Canis lupus familiaris: one gene and its partners. The protein of the gene in region 7 purifies or fractionates together with the protein of the main gene of each other region. This does not show direct contact. Links are inferred from orthologs where the notes say so. Each region holds a gene or a part of one and is shown on either strand. Other genes may lie near its edges.

Evidence for each region.
Region 1: the proteins of CDK19 (region 7) and MED12 purify together in Homo sapiens (affinity purification with mass spectrometry; 10 studies listed by BioGRID and IntAct, counting the BioPlex papers as one, with this or other methods). This does not show direct contact. The link is inferred for Canis lupus familiaris from reciprocal best matches to the Homo sapiens genes CDK19 and MED12.
Region 2: the proteins of CDK19 (region 7) and CCNC purify together in Homo sapiens (affinity purification with mass spectrometry; 8 studies listed by BioGRID and IntAct, counting the BioPlex papers as one, with this or other methods). This does not show direct contact. The link is inferred for Canis lupus familiaris from reciprocal best matches to the Homo sapiens genes CDK19 and CCNC.
Region 3: the proteins of CDK19 (region 7) and MED13 purify together in Homo sapiens (affinity purification with mass spectrometry; 6 studies listed by BioGRID and IntAct, counting the BioPlex papers as one, with this or other methods). This does not show direct contact. The link is inferred for Canis lupus familiaris from reciprocal best matches to the Homo sapiens genes CDK19 and MED13.
Region 4: the proteins of CDK19 (region 7) and MED19 purify together in Homo sapiens (affinity purification with mass spectrometry; 7 studies listed by BioGRID and IntAct, counting the BioPlex papers as one, with this or other methods). This does not show direct contact. The link is inferred for Canis lupus familiaris from reciprocal best matches to the Homo sapiens genes CDK19 and MED19.
Region 5: the proteins of CDK19 (region 7) and MED8 purify together in Homo sapiens (affinity purification with mass spectrometry; 6 studies listed by BioGRID and IntAct, counting the BioPlex papers as one, with this or other methods). This does not show direct contact. The link is inferred for Canis lupus familiaris from reciprocal best matches to the Homo sapiens genes CDK19 and MED8.
Region 6: the proteins of CDK19 (region 7) and MED7 purify together in Homo sapiens (affinity purification with mass spectrometry; 5 studies listed by BioGRID and IntAct, counting the BioPlex papers as one, with this or other methods). This does not show direct contact. The link is inferred for Canis lupus familiaris from reciprocal best matches to the Homo sapiens genes CDK19 and MED7.

Annotation. Positions count from the first base shown.
Region 1 is NC_049260.1:55,693,046-55,696,862, reverse strand, and holds part of MED12 (mediator of RNA polymerase II transcription subunit 12), read right to left. Parts: coding exon 3,680-3,817; intron 3,506-3,679; coding exon 3,385-3,505; intron 3,001-3,384; coding exon 2,899-3,000; intron 2,770-2,898; coding exon 2,656-2,769; intron 2,404-2,655; coding exon 2,228-2,403; intron 2,045-2,227; coding exon 1,865-2,044; intron 804-1,864; coding exon 732-803; intron 277-731; coding exon 143-276; intron 1-142. UniProt on the Homo sapiens protein: Component of the Mediator complex, a coactivator involved in the regulated transcription of nearly all RNA polymerase II-dependent genes.
Region 2 is NC_049233.1:58,029,304-58,033,120, forward strand, and holds part of CCNC (cyclin-C), read right to left. Parts: intron 1,047-3,817; coding exon 940-1,046; intron 1-939. UniProt on the Homo sapiens protein: Component of the Mediator complex, a coactivator involved in regulated gene transcription of nearly all RNA polymerase II-dependent genes.
Region 3 is NC_049230.1:34,602,880-34,607,459, forward strand, and holds the start of MED13 (mediator of RNA polymerase II transcription subunit 13), read left to right. Parts: upstream 1-1,594; 5' UTR 1,595-1,683; coding exon 1,684-1,749; intron 1,750-3,621; coding exon 3,622-3,856; intron 3,857-4,580. UniProt on the Homo sapiens protein: Component of the Mediator complex, a coactivator involved in the regulated transcription of nearly all RNA polymerase II-dependent genes.
Region 4 is NC_049239.1:38,961,976-38,964,543, forward strand, and holds part of MED19 (mediator of RNA polymerase II transcription subunit 19), read left to right. Parts: intron 1-1,646; coding exon 1,647-1,903; intron 1,904-2,050; coding exon 2,051-2,147; intron 2,148-2,420; coding exon 2,421-2,542; intron 2,543-2,568. UniProt on the Homo sapiens protein: Component of the Mediator complex, a coactivator involved in the regulated transcription of nearly all RNA polymerase II-dependent genes.
Region 5 is NC_049236.1:16,885,245-16,888,538, forward strand, and holds the end of MED8 (mediator of RNA polymerase II transcription subunit 8), read left to right. Parts: intron 1-437; coding exon 438-578; intron 579-774; coding exon 775-856; intron 857-1,218; coding exon 1,219-1,467; intron 1,468-2,303; coding exon 2,304-2,368; 3' UTR 2,369-2,633; downstream 2,634-3,294. UniProt on the Homo sapiens protein: Component of the Mediator complex, a coactivator involved in the regulated transcription of nearly all RNA polymerase II-dependent genes.
Region 6 is NC_049225.1:53,883,853-53,888,390, forward strand, and holds the start of MED7 (mediator of RNA polymerase II transcription subunit 7), read left to right. Parts: upstream 1-1,672; 5' UTR 1,673-1,739; intron 1,740-4,538. UniProt on the Homo sapiens protein: Component of the Mediator complex, a coactivator involved in the regulated transcription of nearly all RNA polymerase II-dependent genes.
Region 7 is NC_049233.1:67,739,044-67,743,477, reverse strand, and holds the start of CDK19 (cyclin-dependent kinase 19), read left to right. Parts: upstream 1-1,597; 5' UTR 1,598-1,781; coding exon 1,782-1,909; intron 1,910-2,377; exon of another isoform or gene 2,378-2,546; intron 2,547-4,434.

The DNA of each region.
Region 1 (3,817 bases), on a different chromosome or scaffold from region 7:
TCCAGAGGAGCCAGGCAAGGGTAGAACAAGCCATGCTCTCCCTGCCCAATGGACAGGCCTAGTATCTCTGTGAGACTGAAATCATTTACACTATGAGAGAACAAGTCATAAGGGGAGGGGTCTGAATGCATTTCTACCCAACCTGAGCACTGGCTTTGTTTTGCTGCTGCTGGGCATGTTGCTTGTGGTGCTTCCAGAAGATGACCCTGTCTCTGCTGACTGTTGGAAAACCTCGATTGTGGCCTTGGCGATGTTCTCTAAGAGGGAGTTCATCTCCTGGGGAGGATGAAAGGCACAGAGGTGCTCAATAGGTAACTGTGATAGGAAGGAAAACAGACGGCAGGAAAGATGGGAGATGAGGGCGGAGAAAGGCATCTGGAAGGTAATGAGAGGGAAAGACACAACTCTGCTGAGAGCCTGCCCTCCAGAGCCTCCCTATTTCTCCAATTCCCCCACTGTCTTCTCCTCACATGCCTCCTTACAGTTGTGACCAGAGAAACTGCCTCCCACCACCACCATCGCCAATCTTCCCCCACACCACCGAGCCCCAACATTCCTGACCCATTTCCCCCTACTCATCAGCCCCATGCGTTTGCCATCTTCCCACCCTCTCTTTCTCAGCTCAAGAACCTGAAGTTCCATAGGACACAGGTTCTTCTATGGTAGCCCACACCCCTGACACATGGAGCTGGAAGTGAGCATGGGACAGAGAGGGCCAGGTGCCAACTCACATTGTTAGGGGTCTGCTTGATCATGAGCTGCAGCTCCAAGGAAGACTGGCGCATGGTCCACTGGTCCAAGTTCTGTGATGGAGACGCCACCCCTAAGCTCATCATCATCCTGTCCCCCCTCTCCATTTCCAGCCACTTACCCCCCACCCTGACTAAGCCACCTCCTGATCTCTCACAACCTTGAAACACATATGCCTACAGGTCTGAAAGGAACTTCCACGTCCCCATCTTTAGGAAAGACTACACCAAAATGATCCAAAATCGTTGAAAAATCTAGCCTATTTTAAAAACGGTTCTGGAAAGATTTCCCATCTTTCCCCTGTCTCCTATTCCAGAGCTTCACATTCCTCCACATGGGTAAGTTCTGCTTAGCACTTACCCTAAATCTTTGATGTTAAAGTTGCAGGCTGTTTTAAACCAGCTGTTCAAAGTCCTTTACAGACCCAAGGGCTAATGTGAGTTAATCTCTCTTTAACATTATCTCCTCTGGGCTGAAGAGACTCATTCCTGTAGCTCTTTTAACAGCTTTATTTCTCCACCCTTCAGTTACCTGAATGCCTGAAGCAGCATGGCAAAGTGGAAGGGGCACAGGCCCACCTGGGCTCGCACCCTGACTCTAAACTAGCTGTGTGACCTTGGGCTAATTACTTAATAAACTCTTCAAGCCTTGGTTTCCTCCTTGGTCAAACTTGGCCACTCCTACCTACTTTCTGGGGGTTGGGACAGATTAAATGAGAAGATGGACATAGAGTGCTGAGCACAATACTCGGCATGAAGCTGACACTTGGTAATCAAGAGCTATGAAGTACTACTGCTGTTCGTTACTGAGCTGTGAGCAAACACCAAACAAGCAAGGCCTTAAACAAGGCTTAGCAGATGTTGTGCCGCCTCTCACTGATAAGCTACAGTCCCAGATAGCCATGCCCTCATCCAGCAGTTGGCTCTAGGGTCTGGACTGCACTGGCCTGACTTCAAAACCCACATGGGGGCTGTTGCTCTGACCACCTTTTGCCCACATCCTTGTTCAGTCTTCCTACTTGACTAACCCCCTCTTTTTCCCTCAGGGTCCCCATTGTTTCACCCAGGGCCTGGGCCCCACTGCTTCCTCTAAGACCCTCACCACCTTGGCCTACCTGCAGAATACGCTTAATGCGCTGCCGCTGGGGGTTTTCCCCGTCCTCGTTGTCCAGCAACCGATGTGGGTAGCAGATGAGCTGCATGAGGCGCTGGGCCTGGGCACTACTCAACACTGGGTCTTGCAGGTCATTGCTATCCTCACACAATGATTTAAGGCAACGCTCTCCTACCCATTCCTGAGGAAGTAGATAACCAGGGCACTGGGGCAAACAGTGAGTGGGGGTAAGGAATAAGGGGGAGATGGGCTGGGGGTTGATGAGAGACGTGATGTATAGTAGGAAGGTGGCATGATCAGGGCTGGAAACAGGACATTATTATATAAAGGCATTTGGGATGCATGGGGGGAAGGTGAGACTGACCTGTTGGCAGATGCTGCGCAGCACGTACTTGGCATAGACATCCAGACTGGCTGTCTCCACAGAGATGTTGCGGCCACCCTGCCTCCGACCGCCACTGCCACCTCCTCCCTCCTCCTCTGGAAGTTCTTCTGTTCCTCCTGTCACAGTGAAGCCTGAACCCTTCAGTTCCGCATCCCCTGTGGTTCACGGGCGGGAGATAGGGAGGGCAGAGTGAGATCTGAACACGGTGTAGAGACCCACCCCAGACCCACAGAAGCAGCAACTCCCCCAAATCCTGCCCTATGGGACAGAAATATACTTCCCTCCCTCCTCTCCTCCCCAAAGGTCAGAGAGACCACCTTCAGGAGGGAGAAAGACTTTCCTTTGTAGTTTAGCTGGCACTCCACCCCACACACACTTCTGGCACCACTCCCTTCCTACCCCCATACCAAGTACAAATACTGCCTTGAGAACAGCAAACACAGCTCCATCCACGATGCGGTTCTGGGAGGCAGCCAGCAGGTGGCGGTCACAGGAGGAACGGATTCCTACTGTAGGCTTGTCTGGAGAGGGAGCCCAAGTCATGAGAAGCAAAAGTAGATCCAGTGGGGTGCAGGCAGTGGGTGGGGCGGGGGGGGGGGGGAGCAGCCACACTTTCTACTGCTGGCTAGGCCCAGATCAGGGTCACTTACTTCCATCTGACTGGCAAGGATTGAGTTGAGGCGTCTTGAAAAGGTGGAGGAGGATGCGGCAGGTCAGCCGGGCCCCTGGCTCAGAGTCCTGCTCACTGCAGGCTGCAAAAAAAAAAAAAAAAGGAAAACAAAGCAAATTGGACAGGGCAAAAGTGGACTGTCCGTGGGTTTGTGGGTGGCAAGGGGCTAGAAGGGAAGGCGAAGTCAGGCAAAAGGAGAAATAACAAGATAATGGGGGAGGAGAGACAGAGCAGTCAGCTGTCTTGCAGTGTGATGGGGGGGGGTCCCTTAGGAGGGTCACAACAGGGAAGGATCAGGGCAGTCAACACAGCGTTAGAAAGAGGCCGCTCTGGGCCCGAGGCCCATCACACAACTGGCCTCTGGTGATAGCGGGGAGCCCCACACTCAACAGTGAGGGTGTGGCCATGGAGTGTGTAGTCAAACTTGGGATCCAGAAATTCTAAGGGTTACGGACTGGTGGTTCACCGGCATTAAGGAGTGAAGGGATGGCAGCACAGCGAATCAGATCCTCAAGGAGCAGACATTGCCGAGCGATGAGGATGGCAACAAAAGTAGCCAGAGAGTCATGAAAAGACAGGTCACTGACCTGGAGGACAAAGCAGACAAGACATCTCGACTCAGCCTGCAGAGAGGGGGCCAATTCAAAGCAGTAGGCCTCCACTCTGTGGGACTCTGTCTCTTGACTATTGCAATGACTGTGACCGGCCCCCTGCCCCGGGAACCACCCCACACCCTGGCAGGACCCTGGCGCAAGCCTCACATCTACATTGCAGAGGAGGTCGTTGAAACCACAAGTGCCATTGTTAGAGGAGCAGCATAAAGCCTTGAGTACTCCTAGCCACTCGGCACTCAGTGACTTGCAATAGCCAGTCAGCTCTGCACACAGGATTGCGATGTC
Region 2 (3,817 bases), about 9.7 Mb from region 7:
AGGATTTGCAAATCTGTTAAAAGAATATAAGTATGCATAAACAACAATAAAAAATAGAAACTGTCCCCAAAGCAAACACTATTCTTATATTAAGAAGATTGAATGATAGGTATTTCCCTCTATCTTCTAAGTATTTTCAGTGTTTTTCTTTTTTTTTTTTTCATATTATCTTTAGAATAAAAGCAAAAGTAAAATGTTAGACAGCTATCAAATTCACCTCAACTACCACTTTATAAAGTTTATTAAAAAGTCCATAATGAATTCTCAAAATAATAGAAAGGCGGGTATGCAGAAAAGTGAACTGGTTTTAGAAAGATCAGGTAACAAAGCTACATGGCAGAGCAAGGATCTTCTGAGTCTAAACCCCCTTCCCTCCAAAGCAAACTTGTAAGATAAAAATGACCAACATAGGAGGTCAACCCAAAGAATCCATTTATCCTCAAAATACTTGCTTTAGCCAATCTTAAATTAGACTTAATAACATATTATAAAGGTTTAGAGAGATTAATGACACTTTCAAACTGTCTTGAGTGTCCCTGACATGTAAGATTCACAACAGACTTTATATCACTTAGAAAGATAAATATAAGTTATGAAAAGAATACATGTATAAATAAAAATGTTAAGTAGGGACTAAAACAGCTCACCATAGATTACTATACAAAAGTTTTTTTTTTTTTTTTAAAGATTTTGTTTATTTATTCATGATAAGTCACACAGAGAGAGAGAGAGAGAGAGAGAGAGGCAGAGACACAGGCAGAGGGAGAAGCAGGCTCCAGGCTCCGGGAGCCGGATGTGGGATTCAATCCCGGGTCTCCAGGATCGCGCCCTGGGCCAAAGGCAGGCACCAAACCGCTGCGCCACCCAGGGATCCCACTATACAAAAGTTTTAATTCAGAGGTAAACAACTATACCATTTCAGTTATTTATTTTTTTTACCATTTGTAAAAAATATTTGTAATTTCCAATACTCTTCTTCTGAGAGAAACTTTAAATCCTTCTGGCGTTCCTTCAACAGATCTTGTTTATCCAAAATCCATTGCAAACTACAAGAACAAAGATGTTAAGACACGTTACAGAAAATCAACTAAGTCACAAAAAACATTCTAAGACTGAACAAGTTGTGAACATTCTAAGAAATACAAAATGCCAGAAGTAAACTCTGAAGACAGGATTTTCTACATTTCTTGAAACTGAGAATCATCTCACTAATGAATGTAAATATGCTCTGAAAAAATTCCACTCTAATTTTGCCTTTTTCATTCTCTTTCTCACTACCTTACACTGTTTTTGCATTGGTTTTAAGACTCTGATATCAAGAAAGATCTTACAGTCAGTGATGCCTTAGGCTTTTAATTGGCAGCACGTTTATTTTTTTCCTAGTGATACATAAAATAATAGTATAGTTATTTGGCACTAAATGAGGATACCTTAGATTTGAAGTATCTTTTCTTAGTTGTTCATGAGTAACTACAGTATTTAATTTTTCGACTTCACAAATTCCAATCATGTTAAAAGCTGCTTCATAATTTATTACACTAATAGCCTCCACTTGCCTAGTTAAGTCTACTATTTTTAACCAGATATGAAATTGAAATGACCCAAAAAACCACTCTGCAACTTGCCTTTGTCACTCAGTATGTACTGGAAGTCTTTCCATGTCAACAAATTTGTTATTCAGCATCTCTTTAAATCGCTGCACATCATTATGGATGGATTATTTATTTAGTTAATTCCTATTAATAGATATGTAGCTTATAATCTTTTATAATTAAAAATAAGACTTTAATGAATATCTTTGTACTTCACCCTTGTACATTTGGTTAATAATATATTTAAAATAATTTCCTAGAAATAGAACTGATTGGTTGGTTTTGCTGATAACTTTTACATATTCAGTTTGTATTCCATACATCATACCAATTTCCATTCCTATTAACAGTACATGAGAGTGTTTTAAAATACTTAAACCCCCTATGGGTTACGGTTAATCTTCTAAATACTGTACAACTTAAAGGCAAAGTAGTATCTTACTGTTTTAGGGGATTTTGTTTTTTAGTTTACTTCTGAGGTTAAACATTTTTCCAGGCCTTATTGGCTAAATACAGTTCTTCTTTTGTACACTGTAATTCTAACAACAGTTTTTCTAATGGGATGGTCTTTTTCATGATTAAAAGATTCTTCTCATGTAATTTGCAAATTATGGTTAGTAAATCATTTGTCAAATACACTGAAAACATTTCCCAAGTTCATGATCTCTTAATATTTAATTTGTAATACAGAAATATGAACACTTAACACCAACCCATATTGTACTTTGATGTTATGCTTGTCACAAATGGGAAGGCCTTCCCTGACACAAAATGACTTAAAAAAAAAAAAAAATCACCTACATTTTCCAATCACTTAAGGCTTTTTTCTTTCAATTTTTCTTATTTCTATGCCACGCTATTTTAAAACATAAAATTAAATTATTGAAAAAAAATTAAATTAATGAAATCTGGTATGGAAAATACCCTCCTTGCTGCTTACTATTCTTTAGAAAATTTCTACATATTCTATTACATTTATTATTCTAAGGCTTGAACTTTAGAAGTATGTTAAGTCCCAAAAAAGGAAACTCATTCAAAATTGTTTGGGATTGCATTAAATTTACACATCAATATAGGGAGAAATGCTATCTTTACAACACTAGAATTCAAACTCCATTTATTAAAATCTTTACTACTACATAATTTAAAAATTTTCTACTACATAATTTAAAAATTTTCTTCCTATAGATCCCGCACATTTCTTTAGTTTATTGTGTATTTCATATTTCCCACTGTTATTGTATTTTATGTTTCCATCATTCATTTAAAAGAAAGCTTTCCACTTTTTACATTTTGTAACTGGTCATTTTATTTTTTATTTTTTAATTTTTTTTATTTACTTATGATAGGCACACAGTGAGAGAGAGAGAGGCAGAGACACAGGCAGAGGGAGAAGCAGGCTCCATGCACCGGGAGCCTGACAGGGAGCCTGACGTGGGATTCGATCCCGGGTCTCCAGGATCGCGCCCCGGGCCAAAGGCAGGCACCAAACCACTGCGCCACCCAGGGATCCCTGGTCACTTTATTAAATATTATTTATAATAATTTGTCAATTAACTGAATTTTCTGGTTAATTTTATCTGTATAGGATGACAATTTTGTCATTTTTTATATCTCATTCTATTAATTATATTGAGTAGCAATTCAGAACAATGTTAAGCAGGCACTCTAATTTTCCTAATGTTTCACCATTAAATATCTCTTATCATTCATGCTTTGATGCTCTTACCATGTTAAGAAAGCATCCTATTTTAGTCAAGAAGAGATGTTGAATTTTAATAGACGTCTTCTGATGCCTTCACTGTCTATTAACATATTTCCTAATATCGACTATATTTCTACAAAATCACTGCCTTTTTTAAATTACTAGTATGATGTTAGGCTCTACTTGTTAATACTTTATGATGTTTACATCAATATTCAAAACGGAGACTGTTCTTAGTGCTACCTTTGCTAGATTTTATCAATGTTATTGTAGCTTCATAAAGAGAACTGGAAAGCTTTTTTTCTGTGTGAAGTGATTTCAGTAGCAGATCCTCTTGAAAATGGGAAAACATATAACCATGAAATAACGTGGGTATGGAGCTTTTTAAATGTTTTAGCTTTCAACTTTATTACCATGGAGATAACCCAAAGGTACATTTGGGTTTATTTATTTTTCTCATTCCTAATTTTGTATCTTTCGTGTCATCCCTCTTTTCCTTGATTCAAGTAGCTGCAGTTTA
Region 3 (4,580 bases), on a different chromosome or scaffold from region 7:
TTTGAACTCTTACACTGAAGTGTAATCCAATAAAGAACTGAGTGTTTTATAGGGAAGGGAACAGAACGTTTTAGTTGGTTTCCATTTCTTACCATTCATTCGTTTGCAAATTTACAAATATCAGGCGTCCACTGTGTGCTAGGAACCTTTTTTTAAGCACTAGGGATACAGCCGTAAGCAAAACAAAGTTCTGGTTCTCACGGAGGTTACGGTGGTGGCACTTTACATACACTGGTTCAACTCCTCACAATAATCTTATGAGGTCACGATGACAACAATAATAGGTAACTGTTAGCAATGGGTGTCTGTGCCAGACACTGGGCTACCTGGTTTATTTGTGTTAACTCCATTGTCACAGCATCCCTATGAGATAGGGTTATGTTTCCCCCTTTTAACAAATGAGGAAACTGAGACCCCAAGAACTGACTGGCTCAAGGCTTGAACCCAAGGAAGCGTGGCTCTCACTCCCAGGTTATTCACTACGAGGCTATACTGTTTCTCATACATTTCTTTCTTTCTTGATATCACAACTTTTTAAGTGTCCAAGTTGTATCGCAGATCGTCTGACTCCCAAGCCCGGGGGGTTTGCAAGTGAGAATGCCCGGGAATTTTTGCAACACTTTCTTTTCCGACGAAATCAAACTGTTTTCCACGTAATTCTCAGATCGGTGATGCGAACCCTCTTGCGCTGTAGATTCCCCCCCCCCGCAAGGAGAAAGCTAGGGCCTGGGCCCGGGGTCATCTTACAGTGGCCGAGGCACCCAGCAGATGGCGCTGTCTTAGTAGCCGCCAGCTGGCCGTCCGGTCCCCAGGGCTCACCGCCTCCGCCGAAAGCTTCCCGGCCCTCTCTCACTCCCTTCTCTCTCCTCCTCCCCACGGAGCCCGGGCCCACGTGACCTCAAGGCGGCCAATGGGCGAGCAGAGAGGGCGAGCTGGTCCCTGTGGCCGCCATTAAAGCGAAGGGAAAACCCGTGAATTCGGATTAAAGGGGGAAAAACGCCGCCCGCTGGGCCCACAAAATGGGGGAGACTACGGCGTCCGGGCGGTGAGGCCGCAGTAGAGCAGACGTTAGGCCGGCCTGGCCCAGGGACGACACGAAGACACAGCCAGAGAATGGTCTGAGCCCGCAGACGCCGCCACCACCTCCGCCGCCGAGGAGATTCTGGGCTTAAGGACATCGCCGCCGCCGGGCCGGGGGCCTGGGCTTCTCTCCCGGCTCTTGCCCTTCCTGCCCCTCCACGGGCGCCTCCCCGCCCGGGAGCACCCTCCACGGCTCGGGCTCTGCCCTCTCGGACTCGATTTTAATTATTTATTGTGTAATTTATTGGTTTTTTTTTTTTTTTCTTCTTGTGGAAGGAGCACATATCTCCTCTGTGCCCCCGAGAGGGGCAAGCGTCCGCGGGCTCCGCGGCGGCCGCAGTCCGGCCCGCGGGGCGAGCGCGGCGCGGCCCTCCCGCCGGCCCTGGGCCCCGGGCGGCTAGGTGCCGGCCGGGCGGCGGGGGCTGCTCGCGGCGGCGGGGGGGTGGGCGGGGAGGGCGGGCGGCCCGGCGGCCTCCTCTTCCACCGCTCCCCCAGCCGCCACCCCCCCGCCCTCCCCGGTGTCTGTGTTTCTCTCTCTGGTCGGAGGCGGCGGTAATGGCGGATGGTGGGTTGTGGCGCCGGCGGCGGCTGCTGTGAGGGACGATGAGTTCCTCCTTCGTGCCGAACGGGGCCAGCCTGGAAGATTGTCACTGTAACCTCTTCTGCCTGGTGAGTGAGGGGCCGCGGGCGGGGGCCGCGGCGTGCGGGGCGGTGGGGGAGGGGGCCGCGAGGTGCGCCCTTGGGCCGTGGGGGAGGGGGTCCGGGTCTGATCCAGATGCCCGAGTCCCCGGGCTAGGCCCAGCCGGAGCCGGCGCCGCGGCCGAGCCCCGCGGCCGAGCCCCGCGCCAGCCCCGGGAAACGCGTTCGCTCAGCCCCATCCTGAGCTCTGCTTTAGGACTGCTGGCTTTTTTTTTTTTTTTTCTTTCCTTGTCCCCCGTTTCCGACTCTTCCTCAACCGTAGTCTTGTCTTCAACTTGTGCTCCTTATCTGGCAGGATACTCCCATTTCCCGGTGTGTCTTGCTTATTAACTATTGCTTTTCTCCTTATTGACTATGTATCTCTTCTTAACACTTTACATTATTGCTCATTCTCCCAGTGCCTTTATGCCACACTCTGGTCATTCGTTCCCCCCCCCGCCCCCCCCCCCCCCAAACAGGACACCGGAACTTATGTACTAAAAAAAAAAAATCTCTTTTCGTTTTACGTTTTCTGATGAGTCAAACTAACAGAAGATTAGTTTCTCCCTTCGATGAGTTCAGATCTCTCTGTAAAAACCAGTAGATACCATTTCATGTTTTGTCTTTGAACTTTGAAAACAGTTTGCCATTTTGACAATTTTTAGCCGTCTTGCTTTTAATAGAACATTATGTTTGTGTGAGAGTGAAATGGGACTAGTGGAGGAGGTTCTATGGTTTTGCACTAATTTTTGTTGCTGTTATTTGTTTTACTTGCATTTTTAGATTGGTTTGAGCAGGCTGCTTCTCATTATATTGAAAAGTCTAGGGAAGCTGGATGCAGGACTGACAATTGTATAGGTTGGCCCAGTTCTGGTAACATCCACAGTTAAGACTTTTTGAAAACTACCAACTGTTGCAAATATTTAGCCCTCAGTTGGACAGTAGCTTAGCTTCGTCCACGATTTAAAGTTTCAGTGACTGACTTTTTTCATTTTTTGTGTGCTAGGAGAAATACTAAGAGTATGTGATAGGTAAGTGAACCGAGTGGGCGGAGCACAACTAGTTGGCAAGTGTAAACTGCCAGTCATGTATCAGCAGTTTCATTTTTGGCACCTTATGCTTTGCACCTCTAAGTTAAAGAATTACTAAATTCTCCCTGTCGAATTTTTTCACGGTGCCAAATTGTTTTTTTTTTAATGCCCTTTCCTCTTATAAAATGTTTTCTTGTACAATGCCCGTTAATCAACATCTCTTCGGGTGCAATAAAACATAACATCAGGTTTTACATTTCTGTTTTCTCTGACTCCGTCTATTTTTGGTACTTTTAGGATCAGGTTCTTTGAAAATAGACTAGTACAAATCTGACAGTTCTTTGTGCGCATTTTCTATTTCACTTTGCCTAAAAGGGATATGTGAACACTTTTTTCAACTATAGTTCTCATTTCATTGGAGCCATCAATTTATAAACATGGAATCATAAGTCTTTAAAAATTTTCTGTTACAGTGTGACACCAGGGAACAAACGTGACCAGTTGGAACAGAACTTAGAGGAAATGTTTACTGAGTGTGCAGTATTAAAGTACATGTTTATATTAAACATTTTTAAGTCTTTTATTTTTCTTAGGGACATCTATTTATTGCTACTCAGTGACATGTCAGTGTTAATATTTTCACGGTTTTAGTTCCTTTCCTTAAATTTTGGGTTGTTGAATTATCTAAGAATCATTTTTTTGGTCAGTCTGCTTTAATATCTTCAGTATATATTGAAAAATTGTAATGTCTTAATGAAATAAAGGGCTTTAAGAGTGAGTACTATTGACTTTGAGTGAATGTGCTGTAATACTCATGCTTTCTTTTCTTCAGGCTGACTTGACGGGAATTAAATGGAAAAGATATGTATGGCAAGGCCCAACTTCTGCCCCTATTCTGTTTCCGGTGACAGAGGAAGACCCCATTTTGAGCAGTTTTAGTCGCTGCCTTAAGGCAGATGTACTTGGTGTTTGGCGGCGAGATCAAAGACCTGGAAGAAGAGAATTGTGGATATTTTGGTGGGGTGAAGACCCCAATTTTGCTGATCTTATTCACCATGACTTGTCAGGTGAAGGCAACTTATTTTTAACCAATGATATATAGCAACGTTGTATACTTTTCCTAAAAATCATTTATATTACAAATTAAGATTTTTTTCTTGTGTGTGAAACACTGTTAGATGTGAAGCCAGATAAAAAAGTTAGCTTACTGTTATGTTTCAGTGTGGTTATTTTATTTTACTTAAATTATCCATATTATGGCAGGCTTTAGCCTTGAATAACTTTTTCTTTAACCACCCAGCATCCTTGTGTATTTTCTTGCGAACGGGGCACAAGGAAGGCATGTTACCTAAGAAAAATGGAATGAGGGAGAAGTAATTTGCAGGCATGTGTAATTCACCATTTGAGTCCATTCTGCCACTGCTCTCTTCTGTATCAATATGCAGACATTTGGTAGGAGTTTCTAGAAATGTTGTAACTTTCTTATGTATTTTTTTCAAGGTGTATATTTTGTTGTTAGTTGTGGTTATTACCATATGAAAGCATATGTTAATTTTGTTATTCTTGGACAGTGATTCTTTTAGTGTTCTTTCAAAGACTGTCACTAAAATGAGACTAGTGCCAACTCATTTATAGGACATTGGGATCATAATCTAAAAAGTTACACAGAAATAATTTTATTGTGAACCTATCAATAAGACTACTTTTAGAAGACCAATTCTTATTTTCTGGACTTTTGGGACCAAATATTACTTTAGAAAGAGAAACTAGTTTTTCACATAATCATTGAAG
Region 4 (2,568 bases), on a different chromosome or scaffold from region 7:
TTCATATGGGTGAAGAAAACTTAGAATAACTGTCTTATAATTACATCAATTTTCCTAAGACAAACTTCCTAAAAGGAAACAAGAAGTATGTTTTTCAGGAGATGATGGAGACTCATTTGGATGGGTCAGCAATTTGGCATAGGGGAGTAGTGGCTGAAGTTAGAGTCAGATGTGTTTTACCATGAGTACCTAAGGAATTTGAGCTTTTTCCTGAGGGTAATAGGAAACCATTGAAATTTTTGACCTGAGGAGTACTGCTTCTAAAAATATCTGGAGAATATGGGTGCCATGTATTGAAATAGAGAAGACATAAATGAGGTGGAGAAAATTTGGAGTTTAAAAAAATGAATGCATGAAATTAACTAACTAGGAGGAAGTTGGAAACCTAAGACTAGTTTTTAGGAGAGGAGTGTTAGGAGACTGGGGTGAGACATTTAGAAATCATCTTCATAGAACTGGTAGTCAAAACAGGATGTTGGATGGGCTCATAAAGTGTTTAGGAAAAGCAGGATAACTAGAATGGCAGGAGGCAGTGTCTGTTTAGGAGGAGCCAGTACCGTGGCACTGAGTCTTCTGCCACCACAGTACACGGTGCTTCTGGAACGTTTGGCATGAGAAAGGAAAAAGAGAAGGATAGAGCAAGGCCTTAGGGTACGGAGGGAAAATACCTTGCTCTCTTAACAATTACTGAGCACCAAAGATGTGTATTGCATGGGGCACCAGCAATACATGTGTGAACAAGACAAACATTGTCTCGGCCCCCAAGGGACTCACGTCAGAACCTGGGTTTTTCCAAGTGAATGATTATGAACAAGCCACTTTTGTCATTTGCATTCTTCGTGTTCATCATAACTGTAGATGAAATTGTGGGCTAGCTAGCTCCACCCTTTGCCACTAGGTCCTTATTAGATTACTAACAAACTTCCATTCTTTGAAAAAAGTCAGCCATGCAGTATTTATACTGATAGTACCTTGCACTTATAGAATACTTTATAATTTTCAATGTTTTCATTTGAACCTTGAAAAAAAAAATTAGCGTGCTCAAGATAGCTGTTACTCCACTGCAGAGATAAGGGGAAACTATGGCATTAACTTTGAGGCAAAAAGCATCATATTTGGTATTATTAGTAATAGAGACAGTGGTAACAAATTAGTCAGCAGTAGCTAAAAATCCTGTTCCTTATGTGAAGATAATTAGTGTTTCTTGCTAGCGCAAAAAAAAAAAAAAAAAAAAAAAGTCCTTAATCAGATGCTCAAGGCTTTGTCCTTTTTGGCCCTTACCTTGCTCGGTAGCTAAGCTCTGAGGTAAGATCCTGCTGTGCCAGAGAGTATAATTTCTCACTGGTAGATTATATGAAAAGCACCCAGAACAGTGTTTAGCACAGTAATTACATCACGTAAGTTATTATTGCGAGGAGTCCAAGTTGGGGAAGAGTGTCTTCTTTGGGGTGAGTTTCCATCTGTGCTCTATTTGGATGTTTGCCGATTTTTCTCCTTGTTCCGACTATTACCATTCTTTGGTTTATGTTTTCAGCGTCTATTATGTTATTTAGTTTTGCTGTTTCTTACTTTAAAAACTAAATTTAATTCTTTATAATTCTCACTACTCTTGGGACTAGTATCTTTTTGTTCTCCGTGCCCTCTAGGTAGCACTGAGCTGACAGGCAGCACCAATCTGATCACACACTACAACCTGGAACATTCCTATAATAAATTTTGTGGGAAGAAGGTGAAGGAGAAACTCAGTAACTTCCTGCCGGACCTGCCAGGAATGATTGATCTGCCTGGTTCCCACGATAACAGCAGCCTCCGTTCTCTCATCGAGAAACCCCCTATTCTTGGTGGCTCTTTTAATCCCATCACAGGGACCATGCTGGCTGGTTTTCGCCTCCACACTGGCCCGGTGAGTCCCCTCTTGGAGAGGCCTGAAAGGCGTGGAGATGGTTTCTCTCTCCAAGTCTGTTCCTCCATAACTTACTGAGCAGAACAGATGATGGGAGCAGAGCATTTTGTCCCTCCACTCACCTGGAACTTCCTTTGGTTCCTTCAGTTACCAGAGCAGTGTCGCCTGATGCATATTCAGCCGCCCAAGAAGAAGAATAAGCACAAGCACAAACAGAGCCGTACCCAGGATCCTGTTCCCCCAGGTAAGCAGCAGTTCTATTCAAAGACAGAAAACCTGGACCTTGTTGGACCATCTGTTTTTAAAAACCCAGTTAGGTTCCTTACAGAGCCCCAGACTTCCCAAGTTCTCCTGATACTGGTATAAGGATAATTAGTGTTTCCTTCAAGTAGAAAGCTGGAACAGTGCCTTAGCAGTGCCTCCCTTATCATTTCTGGCCATTAGAGGAGCAGGTGCCCTTGACTAGGTTTTCCTGTGGTCTTCAGTTCCTAGCTGTAGGGAATTTTGAGTTCTACAGGTGATCGGCACACACTGTTTCCTACAGAAACACCATCTGATTCTGATCACAAGAAGAAGAAAAAGAAAAAAGAGGAGGATCCTGAACGGAAAAGGAAGAAGAAAGAGAAGAAGAAAAAGAAGGTAGGTTAGGGCTGTGCTGCTGCAAC
Region 5 (3,294 bases), on a different chromosome or scaffold from region 7:
GTTCTGAATGTGTAGTGTGTGGTAATAGAAAGCAAGGGCTGCTTTATTGAGGCCTTTTTTTCCTTCTGGAATTGGGGAGCTACTTCCAAGTAGTGCCAAATAAACCTGAGGCCTCTGTGCCCAAGGCAAAGACCTTTCTCCTCCAATATCTATCTTGAGGAAAAAGTGTGTTCTTTTGTGATTTTTGTCTGTTTTGGTATTTTATTAAAATGTAGCAAAGAGAAACTTGCCTCTAGGTCTGGTAGAAATAGAGGTGTGAGCAGATAGAAATGAAGCAGGGAGTAAGAGCAACAGTGTTCTAGGAAGCCAGATACTGTAAGTGTCAGGCTGTGTTTTCCCCAAAAATGTACCATTTGCCAGTGGAAGGAGCTGTGTAGCAAGCCAGATTGAATTGTCTTGGATTGCATGGGAGGATCAGTAACATCTGTGTGTTACAGCGGCAGACTGAAGGACGAGTGCCTGTTTTCAGCCACGAGGTGGTCCCTGACCACCTGAGAACCAAGCCTGACCCTGAGGTCGAAGAGCAAGAGAAGCAGCTCACAACAGATGCTGCTCGCATCGGTGCCGACGCAGCTCAGGTTGGACCAAGTCACTGCCCTGCTGCTCCCCCCTCCCCTGGGGCCCTTCATGAGAAGCTGGGCAGTACTGTTGGTGTCTGGTAGGGGTGCGCAGTTGATTATATAAAAGTTGCCCCTGGAAGAGCACAAGGAACAGCCCTCATCACAAGTATTTCCTGTCTGCTCTGATCTCTGCACAAATGTATGTGTGTTACAGAAGCAGATCCAGAGCTTGAATAAAATGTGCTCAAACCTTCTGGAGAAAATCAGCAAAGAGGAACGGGAATCTGAGAGTGGAGGTATGGAAGGATTGGTGGCAAAAATGGAAGAGGGAAAGGAGGAGAAGATGACTGGACTAAGACTGGTGGTTTGGGTGGTGGTGAAGTGAGGATAGAAGACAACTGCTTAGGAGAGGGATGTGTCCATTCTGTTTGCCGTTTATACTGAAGGCCAGCCCTGGAGCAGGCAGAGGAAAGGGGCAAAATGAGAAGGGATAATTCTGAGATAGTTGTGGGGGTCTCTTGGGGTCTCTTTCTCTGGGCTGCTGGTGAGTGTGGATGCTGCTGAAGCCCTGAGGCTCCTGGGGCTGGTCTTCCTGCTGCCAGGTTTAGTCCAGGGTCAGAGGCGCATCGCAAGCTCCTCACTTCCCCTTTTTCTTCAGGTCTCCGGCCAAACAAGCAGACCTTTAACCCCGCAGACACCAATGCCTTAGTAGCAGCTGTGGCCTTTGGGAAGGGGCTGTCTAATTGGAGGCCTTCCGGTAGTAGTGGTCCTGGCCAGCCCGGCCAGCCAGGAGCTGGGCCGATCCTTGCTGGAGCCTCAGGATTACAGCAAGTACAGATGGCAGGAGCTCCGAGCCAACAGCAACCACTGCTCAGTGGGGTGCAGATGGCCCAGGCAGGTCAAACAGGTAAGGTGGCGGAGGATGACATGGTAGCAGACTCAAAGCAAGGAAATAGGGATAAGCTGGATTGTCTGGGCCCCCAGTATCCCAGAGTTGGAGATTTTCTCCTATCCTCCTTGGACTGTGACCCAGAAATCAATTTTTAAGAGTAAAAAAACTCTTTTGAGACTCTGTAGCAGGTACCAGCGAAAGGAAGAACTTCGAGCAGCAGGAACTGCACCTCCCAGCCCCATCTTAGAGCTCTGTGTCAACTACCTTCTTGTCCCATTTACTCTGGACACTGAGTGTGCTGTTGGGGTCTTAGACCAGTGGGTGGGCCTCAGTTAAGACCACTCAGTAGGGATGCTGGGATTGAAAGACAAGCAAGTTATGTGTACTCTTTTCTTTGTATTCAATCTCTCTGATCTACTGTTAATAGTTATGAGAACAGTCTGGAGGAGTTCAGATGTGCGTAGCTAGAAGAGGTGTTTTGTGTTTTGTTTTGGTTTTTTTGTTTTTATCCAAAGCCCTCCAGGAAATGGAGCAGTTACAGTAAGAGAGAACAGTCTTTCGCCTGTGACAGTAAATGGGGTCTAGCTGTCTTTTCCGGAAGTAGCTGAGCACGAGACTTGCTGGGGTGTGTTCTGACCCCTCCTACTATCAGTCCTTTTTTTCCAGATACCTTCCGGGAGAGGGCTGGTCAGGACCCACACCTCTAATCTTTGCTACCCGGGGTCAGAGGCCACAGAGGTTCTGAGCTGAAAGAGCGAAAGGGTGGCAGAAGGGAGCCTGGGAGACCACCTCTCTGATTTATCATGAAAGTCTTAAGGTGCTTCAGGTGTCTTTCTTCATATTCCTTTTAGGGAAAATGCCAAGTGGAATAAAAACCAACATCAAGTCTGCTTCAATGCATCCCTACCAGCGGTGAGTGTGGCCGGCAACTTTTCCCAAAGCTGGACTAGATGGGTACAATAAAGAGAACATGGGCTTTCAGCGCCAGACAGGTTCCAGCTGCACCACAGACGAGCTGAGTGACCTTGGGCAAGTGACCTGATTTTTCCGAGCCTGTTTTCTTTGTAAATGGTGATACCTACCTCATAGGGTTGTTGTGAGGACTGAAATGAGAAAATGAATGTAAAACAGTACAGCCTATGAAATAATGAGCATTCAATAAATGATAGTTTCTACAGCCACTTCTCCCACTGCCCTCCTCAGTCCTGGATCCAGAACCCAGCGGGATCTGATACTCCTTCGTGTCAGCGGTGAGCTGACGGACACAAGATCATGGACCACTCTGTTCTGTTTGGAAGCCTGTCCATATTTTATGGTGCCGGAAACTGTCACAGCCTGTGTATGTCTTTAGAGGCATGTCGGCTCCACAGGCCCCCCCTGCCCAGGTTCCATCAGGGCCATCTCTCCAGGCTGCCGGCAACGGGGCTTCTGGGCTGGGTCAGAGGGTCCACCCACAGCTCTGGTGAAGCGTGGGCCTGCCCTCCCCTCTCCTTCACCCTATCTTATACACATCCAAGAAGATGCTGAAGGTCTAGTAGGTGTGGGGTTCCCAGGAAGTGGCTCTACCAGGTAGGACTGTGTGAGAAAGGGGCTTTGTTAGCACATGAAGCCCCTTCTCCCTGGACTCATTTTTCTTATTTTAGAGGGAGAGGGGAATCACGCTTCACACCGTCTTTCTTCTGGGTTTCATTGCTCTCATAATAGCTCCTGGTTCCTGGACTCGGGCCAGGATGGCTTTCCTCCAGTCCACTAAAACTGTGGCTCAAATGAGAGAGCCAGATTGCTGGTGGGTGGGGACAGCCCTCAGGACCTCTGCATGCTTTACATAAAGCTGAAGAGCAG
Region 6 (4,538 bases), on a different chromosome or scaffold from region 7:
GCTAATAACTTCCTTGCTCCACCCTCCTTTCTAGAAAAATGTTCCACTTGGCACAAATCCTTGGAGTTCCCCATTACTTGCTAGATGGGATTTTGCCCAATAGATGAATAGATTAAAAAATCCAATTAGATCTCTTAAATTTACTGGGTTAAATTTCTGTTACTTAACAGAAACTTTAGAATCAAAGATTAAAGGTAGTTGAAAGACACATCAGCCAGTTACAAAGGCTTATTGGATCCTGAAGCAATTGTTATCCAAATAAGGACTTGATTTTTATGATTTTTTTTTAAGAGAGGTAAGGGGGGGGGGTGTGTGGAGCAGAGGGCAGGAGAGAGAGAATCTTAAGCAGGCTGCAGGCTGAGCACACAGCCTGACATGGGGCTGTCTCATGACCCCAAGATCAAGAACTGAGCTGAAATTGAGAATCAGAAGCTTAAACAATTGAGCCACCTAAGTGCCCTTGATTTTGATGAATTTAAATAATTACTATTTTATTTTATTTTTTTTAAAAAAGATTTTATTTATTCATGAAAGACAGAGAGACAGGCGGAGATGTAGGCAGAGAGACAAGCGGGCTCCATATCTGGAGCCTGTCGCAGGACTTGATCCCAGGACCCTGGGATCACAACTTGAACCAAAGGCAGACACGGAACCACTGAGCCACCCAGGCACCTCTACTAACTTATTTTTAAATGATATAACACCTGTATCCTTATGGGGGAAAATGAGAGTCCTATTTTGGACGTGTATATTAAAACGAAATAATGTCTAGATCTAATGGGTAGATATAGATTGAAGGTGGATAATGAGTACACTTTTTTTTTTAAAGATCTTATCTATTTGAGAGAGGAAGAGAGAGAGCAAGAGCAGTGTGAGGGGAGGGGGAGAAGCAGATTCCCTGCTGAGCAGGGAGCCCAAGTAGGGCTTGATGCCAGGACCCTGGGATCACGACCTGAGCTGAAGGCAGAGGCTTCACCCACTCAGCCACCTAGGCGCCCCTCTACTTTTGCATATACTCGGAATCTCGTTCTTTTCTAAAAAATGAAACCAAGTAATCTTATTTTAGAGGCAAAGTTGAAAACTTTTATCAGAATAACAATTTTCTTTTATGTCCAGTATGCTCTCGTCAGATTTCCACGAATTTATAAGTTTGTTACTTCTTCTGAAAATTACCTCCCAAAAACTTTGATACATTTTTTGTTACCTGGAAACATAGCTATGTTTCAATTCCTAAATGAAAATAAATATGAATGTGAAGAAATAGAAACTGAGAACGCTATGAATTCCCGATCTCGTTCATAAATATTTCCAGATTGAAAATAAATGTAATGCTATTTTGGACAGTAGGATTAGAGTCGATCTAATTTTTAAAAATCGGCTTATCTGCATTTTCTAATTTTCATGTAAGGCAAACGGATAAGTTAATCTCAGGTGTCAAAAAAAAAAAAAAGATAACAAAGGAGCGAAGCTACCAGTTGCAGCTTTTACTGATAGAAAGTACTAGCACAGACACCCCCACGCCCGAGGCCGCCGGCGACCCGACCGCCGAGGGCGCGGGGAGATACGCGCAGGCGCAGTAGCAAGGTTTTGGTTGGAGGCGGGACTAGAGCGGCGGCTAACATACAGTTCTCTCAGCCAATCAAGGGGCAGTGTCACGGGCTTCTTCCTGGAGGAGGTGGCCGGAAGTCGGCTTTCGGTTGCGGAGGCGAAGGCGGCTCCAGCGTCAAGCCTGGGCTGAGGTAAGTGGGCGGCGACGGCTTGCGGCTTCGTGCCGCGTGCGTCTCGCCTTCCGGACCCCGCGGCTCCCCCAGGGCCGGCTGGGAATGGGGGAAGCCTGGCGCGGACACGCTCCGTCACCTTCCTCTCCCACATCCCTCGGAGATGCGGCCTCGCTGCTGCTCGCGGGGAGCCGGGCGGAAGGTGCCGTCGGCGCGGCGCGCTCGGGGCTTCCTCCGTGGGGGAGCCCTGAGTTCCAGTCCCGCGCCGCGGGTGTGCTGAGCCGGGCGGACGTGGCGGGCCTCGGCCCCCGGGCCTTGCCCGCGCTCGTCGGGGATGGAGCCTGAGGTCGGCCGCGGTAGTGCGGGGTGCAGGAGGCCGCGATCCCAAGCCTGGTGGCCACGTCGAGGGGGAGGTGTTCGGGGGCGGGGCGGGACCCTGGAATGCCTTCCTGTCGGCTGAGCCCCACGGAAGGGGGGTCTGGGGTCCGGTCACCGGCCGTGACGCTTGGCGCCGGTTTCAGTGGAGACACCGCCTCGGAAGAGTTGGCCCCAGAGAAGCGGTGGAGGAATGAGCAGAATCGGTGCGACTCGTCAGGTTGCTTCCGTGGGCGAGCCTGCCCTGGGCCGCGGAAAGGAGCCGGGATGAGGAGCGTTGCCGTGGACTCGCTAGCCCCGACGCGGCGCAGGCGGCCCCTCCGAGACGCGGAGTCTTCCTCTCGCGAAGGAAGCTGACAGGCGTGTGAGGAAGACCGAGAGGCTTTTTTTTTTTTTTTAATTTTTTTTTTTTTTAAAGATTTTATTTATTTATTCATGAGAGACCCAGGCAGACGGAGAAGCAGGCTCCTTGCAGACGTGGGACTCGATCTCGGATCCCCGGATCCCGCCCTGAGCCACCCAGGCGTCCGCCGAGAGGCTTTAAAACGTGCCAGTCACGTGGGACTGGGAACCTGCACGTTGAATAGAGGAGTGCTTGTGGCTTGTGGCGTGGGGAGGCGCGGAACCGGGCGCCCAACTAAAAATGCTTGAGTGAGGCAGAGCCTGGGCTGTCTCTTACAGTCGCTTTTGAAGTAACCAGATCAATGCTAATTCTCTGATTTTGGTAGTAATCACATATAAACACTGTTTATCACCCCCACCTCCACCCCCCACTCCCCGCAAGCAGTTTTACCCCTTTTACTCGAGGGCCGCCTTATATTACAGAGAAATATTTTATCCACTCCTCATATTGATGAAGTCATGGATGATTTCCGGCTTTTCCTACTCTTTTCAAACCTCGCTGCATTAAACACCCTTGGTGCACATTTTTATGCACTTGTGACGTAGGACAGATGTTAGGGTTTGAAACCAACAGCCAAGAAAGAGTTCTTGAGACGTCTGTGGTGCAAAAAAGTGGTCTTTATAGAAGCATGAGAGGGCAAGACCCTTGGACAGAAAGAGCTGCCCTGGGAGAGTGCGACCTCTGCTGGCATCCAGCGCCTGTCGCATGGAAGGTGTTCTAATATTTGTTGAATGATGGAGTATTTGAAATCTCGATAGTCCGTTAGATGAAAAGTATTCTTTTTAAAACTTTGCTTTTAGAAGTATATTAGTCTGAATAATTTTCTGCTTTTATTCAGCATTTGCATTTCCCTTGTCTTTTTTTTTTTTTTTTTAAGATTTTATTTACTTGAGAGAGAGGGAGCTAGCCCAGCGTGGGGAAAGGCAGAGGGAGAAGGGAGAAGCAGATTCCCTGCTAAGCTGGGAGCCGGATGCGGGCTCAATCCCAGGACCCTGAGATCAGGACCTGAATCCATGACTTGAGCCAAAGGCAGAAGCTTAACCGACTGAACCACCCGAGCCCTCCTCCTTGTCCTCTTTTGTCTATTATTCTGTTTTAAAAAACGGAGGTTAAAAAAAAAAAAAAAACTCAATCAGTGGGCCTTTATTGAGGATCTTTTAGGTGTTGAGGTGCTGGAGATGGAGTTGTGTATTCGGCAGTTCCTGAAGTCCTAGTGCCCTCCTTCCGGTGGGAGTGGAGTCAGAAAATAAATTTTTGAAAAGTCAAAATAAAATTTCCAATATTTGCTCTGTTAGCTTGCAGGCATTTTTCTCCCAAAAGAATGGGATTGTCTTTTAATTTTGCTTATGATAATTTTCCTGTGTGGAATTTTTAGACTTATTTTTGGTAGAACTGTTGGCCTTCTGTAGGAGCCTTAAAACTTGGTAGTTATTTTTGTGTTTTTTTTGTTAGGTTGTAAGTGGCACTAAGATGGAAGCAATGTTTTTTTGTTTATCCTTGATAATGTAGAGTAGTGTTTAAGATACTATGGTTCTGAATCCTTCCTCTACTACTTAATCTGTGACTTTATGCAAGTGGTTCAACCTGAATGCTTTATGAGCCATCCAGGAGATCAGGCAGTTTGGATTAGAGCTAGAAAGTACAGAGTCATAAACACAGAACAGGGCTTCTCCACTTTGGCACAATATTTTGACATTTGGGGCTGGGATAATTCCTTTTTGGGGGCTGTCATACGCATTGTAAGTGTTCGGCAGCATCCCTAGCCTCTACCAGTTAGATGCCAGTAACACCCCATCCCCCAGTTGTGACAAGTAAAAATATCTCCAGACCTTGCCCTATGTTTCCTGGTGGGCAAAATTGCCCTTGGTTGAGAATGACTGGTAGAAATGGTGTTAAAAGCCAGGGAATTAACTAATAATCACCCAAGGGAGAATATAAAACAGAAGTCTAAAACTATTGGCCCACAGACCACAAAGATTGTAGATAAGTTCTTTTTGACCTCACAAGACTTGACCATTTCTAGAACTAATTACCAGTATTTA
Region 7 (4,434 bases):
AATTTTGGCTCAAACTGACCTCCCTGTGAAGCCTGGCCTGACCCCCCAGAAGTCTTCCTAGTCTATCATTGCTCTTTGTACCCACACCATTTATTTTTAATTTGCTTGCGTGTTTATTTCTCCAATAGGTTTTAGCTCCCCTGATGGAAAAAGACCAGTTTTCATCTGGTATCTCCAGCACTCACCCTGGTTCCTGGACATAAGAGAAACTAAGATTTTCAGATACGTTTGATTGACTTCAAGATCTGAGAAAGTTCCTTAAGAAATTTACTCTTGTAGTAAATCAATGATCTCCATCCCCCACTCCCAAGTTTTCCAGGTTTCTTCCCAAACCTAGCAGGTGGGCGGGGGGGGGGGGGGGAGGTGTCACTACTAACTTTCCTTACCACTTTAGATAAAGGGGACCAATTCTTCCTTTGTGCTCCCACTAAATGTGGTATATTATTCTTATCCTAGCACCAATCACGCATAAAATCGTATCCCAAGCATCCTAAGGACGCAGGAATTAAATGAATCCATATTCACCTTGATTAAGGACACTTTCTCAGACATCCTTGGAGAACGTCACCATTATGCACAGACCTTAAAAAAAAAAAAAAAACAAACATCTTTTACAATGCAAACCTGATGCCTGCTTTTAAGACGATGCATCCTCCTGGCACTTGAATTGTCCTTAGACAGATGGCCCAAAGCTTGGCTGTGGGAACCGCATATGGTGGGAGGAGACCATGACTCGAGCGCCAGGAAAAGGATGATTGGCTGCCGGGCCTCAGAAGTTCTCCGCAGACCGACGCCAGCCCTAGGAAACCGCTGAGGGTTCAGCTTTTGAAATACGGTTTTTGCATCGTAAAGAAAAAAGATGGACCTATCAGAACAACCGAGCACACCCAATTACCAATCAAGAGCGGGAAAGGAGCCAAAGCCCGGGGATACCCACGCACCGACGAGGACGTCATTCTCTAGTCTCAGCCAATGAGCGGCGGAGGGGGGCGGGGCAACGAGCGGACCAATCGCCACGAAAAACAAACCGTCTTGCAGCACAACTGCTCTAACCACAGTCCTCGCCTCTCTAACCGCCGGCGCAAACTCCTGAGCCGAGCACTTGTTACGTACTTTCCACTCTCCCTCTCGCCCGGGGGCAGTGATAGTGGAGTACCTTCCTCTACACCACAACAAGGGCCTTTTTTCCACCCGCTCCCCCACAGACTCGCAGAAAGAATTCGGCAACTTGAAGCTTCCCACCTTCACAGGAACTGGCAGTCCGGCGCTACCTGAGGGGGAGGGGCGGCCGCAGTGCGCAGGCGTGCCCGCCTCGCGGGGCGGGGCTGTGGCGGCCCAAAGCAGCCTGGGTGTTGTATTTCTTCTGCTGGCGAAACTCGGTTGCTGTTGGGGCCCTCCGGAACTACATTTCCCAGGAGCCCCCGCGACCTCGGGGTGGGCGGGATGGTTCGTTAATGAGCTCGAGGAAGCCGCGGCGCGGCCCACCAGGTTCCAAAACAAGGAAATGAAGGGGGGAGGCGGGACTGGGGCTGCCTGCGGGAGCCGCCGCCGCCGCCGCCGCCGAGGAGGAGGAGGAGGAGGTGGTGGTGGAGGAGGAGGTGGCTGCCGCGGCCGCCGAGGAGTCCCTTGCTGAAGGCGGACCGCGGGGCGGCGGGCGGCGCGCGCGCGCCCGAGAGGCGGCTGTTGGAGAAGTGGAGCGGCGGGCGCGGGGGGAGGAGGAGGAGGAGGGACTGAGCGGCGGCGGCCCCCGCGTCCCGGTGCCTCTATGGGGAAAGCAGACAATGGATTATGATTTCAAGGCGAAGCTGGCGGCGGAGCGGGAGCGGGTGGAGGATTTGTTTGAGTACGAAGGGTGCAAAGTGGGACGCGGCACCTACGGGCACGTCTACAAGGCGAGGCGGAAAGATGGGTAAGAGCAGGGGCGGGGGGAGCGGGCTCGCCCGGGTCCTCGCCCTGCCCGCGACCGCGCGGGGCGGCTGGGTCGGAGCCGGGGCGGGCCGCTCCCGGGGGGCGAGGCGGCGGGGGGCGCGGGGCCGCGCGTCCCGGCGCGGACTGGGGGGCGCGGGCGCTGCCCCCCCACCCTCCACCCTGCACCCTCCGCCCCGCGCGGCCCCGTCGCGCCCCGCGGACTCCCGCGGCGCAGCCCGGTCGGGGGGCGGCGGTCCCGTCCCCGAGGGCGCCCCCCGCGCGCCCCGGGCTGGCGGCGGGGACTCGAGGGGGCACCTCCGCGGAGGTGGAGTTGGCGGGGTCTGCTCTCGGGGGCGGGCGGGGGGCACGCGGGGCGCCGGGAGAGCTTCGTCGAGGAGTTGCCGCTCCGGCCCTGGGCCGGTGACGGTCGTGGCGGAACTTCCAATCGGCTGAGCGCCTCCCCGGGGGCGGCGGTTTGAAACCCAGCCGGGGAGCCGGCGGCGCGGCCGAGCGCTGGGGGCCCGGGCAGCCTCCCGGCTCTGGGCGCAGCCCCTGTCTACACCCGCCGACTTCGGGATCCATCCTCCCCCCGCCGATTCCGCCTTTGCACCTTGTGAATTCCGCGCCTCCCCTCCGAGGTGGGACCTCCCGGGAGACCCGCCGCGCTTTACCGGCGGAACTTCGCCTAGTTCCCTAACTCGTCCCCCCACCCCCCACCCCCCGCGACCTTGGGCATCCTGAGGTCCTCCGCACCCCGACCTGGGGCATCCTGAGGTCCTCCGCACCCCGACCTGGGGCATCCTGAGGTCCTCCCCACCCGGACCTGGGGCATCCTGAGGTCCTCCGCACCCCGACCTGGGGCATCTTGAGGTCCTCCGCACCCCGACCTGGGGCATCCTGAGGTCCTCCCCACCCGGACCTGGGGCATCCTGAGGTCCTCCGCACCCCGACCTGGGGCATCTTGAGGTCCTCCGCACCCCGACCTGGGGGCATCCTGAGGTCCTCCAGACCCGCACCTGGGGCATCCTGAGGTCCTCCACACCCCAATCTGGGGCATCCTGAGGTCCTCCCCTGCGCCCCCCTGGCCGAATGACTGCGCGCTGGGGGCTCCCGAGCACCTGGATGGGCCAGGACGGAAGGCGGGCCTGGATCTCTTGTTCTCCCGGGGAGTTGAGGGCGACCCGTGGTAACACCTCTTAGAAGCGTCCATGGATCGCCGTCTTAGGAGAAGGCGAGCTGGAGAAAGTATTGACAGCGCCTGTCCTTGGTCCTGTAGGGTAGCCGTGCGCGGGCTGCAGGGCCGGAGGCACCAGCTCCCCGCGGCGAGGAGGGTCGGGGTGAACCCTTGGCCTCCCCTCCGCCCACCCTGGCGGGGATCCTCCTCCCCCGGAGCCGGGAGCCCGGGGACGTCTCTCGAGCCCTCCCGCCTAGGTTCCCAAGGCTGTCAGAAACCACTCGGGGGAGAGAGTTTGTAGGCTCGTAACGGGACATCCCTGAGTGAAGGGAGGATCGGCCGCGGCGACGTTAGTGGGACTGGCGGCGCTGCGTCGCGTCCTGCGCACCTGCCTGTTGCCATCGCTGCAGCTGGTGTGGGGGGGCCAGGGCGGAGCAGGCGGGGCCGCGCGCCGGTGCCCGGGGAGCCCGCGGAGCCCGACCCTACACGCCGTTTCGCCCTAGAGCGTCGTGGCCTCACGAGGTGCTGCACACGTGCGGAGAGAGGATTGTGAGCCGCGTTTAGCTTTTGCCTTCTGAACTGGACGAGCCCCATGGCGTTCAGTTGTAGCTTAACTCATGGTTCTTGCAGTTACTTGCCAGGTGTCGTCCTTGAATTAATATCTTGGACTGTGAGGCACTATAATTAACTTGTATTTTGCTTCTGGAATATTAGCTCTGCTTGTTCTCCTGGTGTCCCTGTAAGGAATCTTAGCAGATATACTTGGGGAAGAGCACATCTAGTTTTCCTGGTTGGACACTGGCATTACAAAACAAATCCCACCTTGTGTGTTTTTCATACTCCTCGTGCTTACGTTGTGATACACTTGATCTGGAATTTCTAAGATGTATTTTCATTTTTGTTGTTAAAAATAGCTTCCTTTCAGTAGGTAACTTGTGAGAAAAATTGAGGATTCTGCTTTTGAATTGTATTTTTTGATAGCATGGGCCACAACCAAAAAACAGCTAAATTTAATTCCTGCTTCTCATTGTTCTTTTTTTTTTTTTAATATTTTTCCCCTCTAATAAAGTTCTTGATTCGACTACACTTTTCTTCTTGAGTGAAATTTGTTTGAGCAGAATTAATAAAGTTTCTCGAATAGAATAAGATCAGTTTGTGTATCTTCAAAATACGCTTTTTAAAGAAACTTTTAGGATCTGAAAGCATTAGTTGATATCACTGTATTGGTTATAAGAAAAGTCATTATAAAGGTAGGTTTTCTTGGGTCAAAGGTCTAGTTGAGATTTGAGGTTTTACAGTAAACACATCTCTTGTGGGTTGGTAGGATTAGTTTTATGTTCCGTGATACAAGC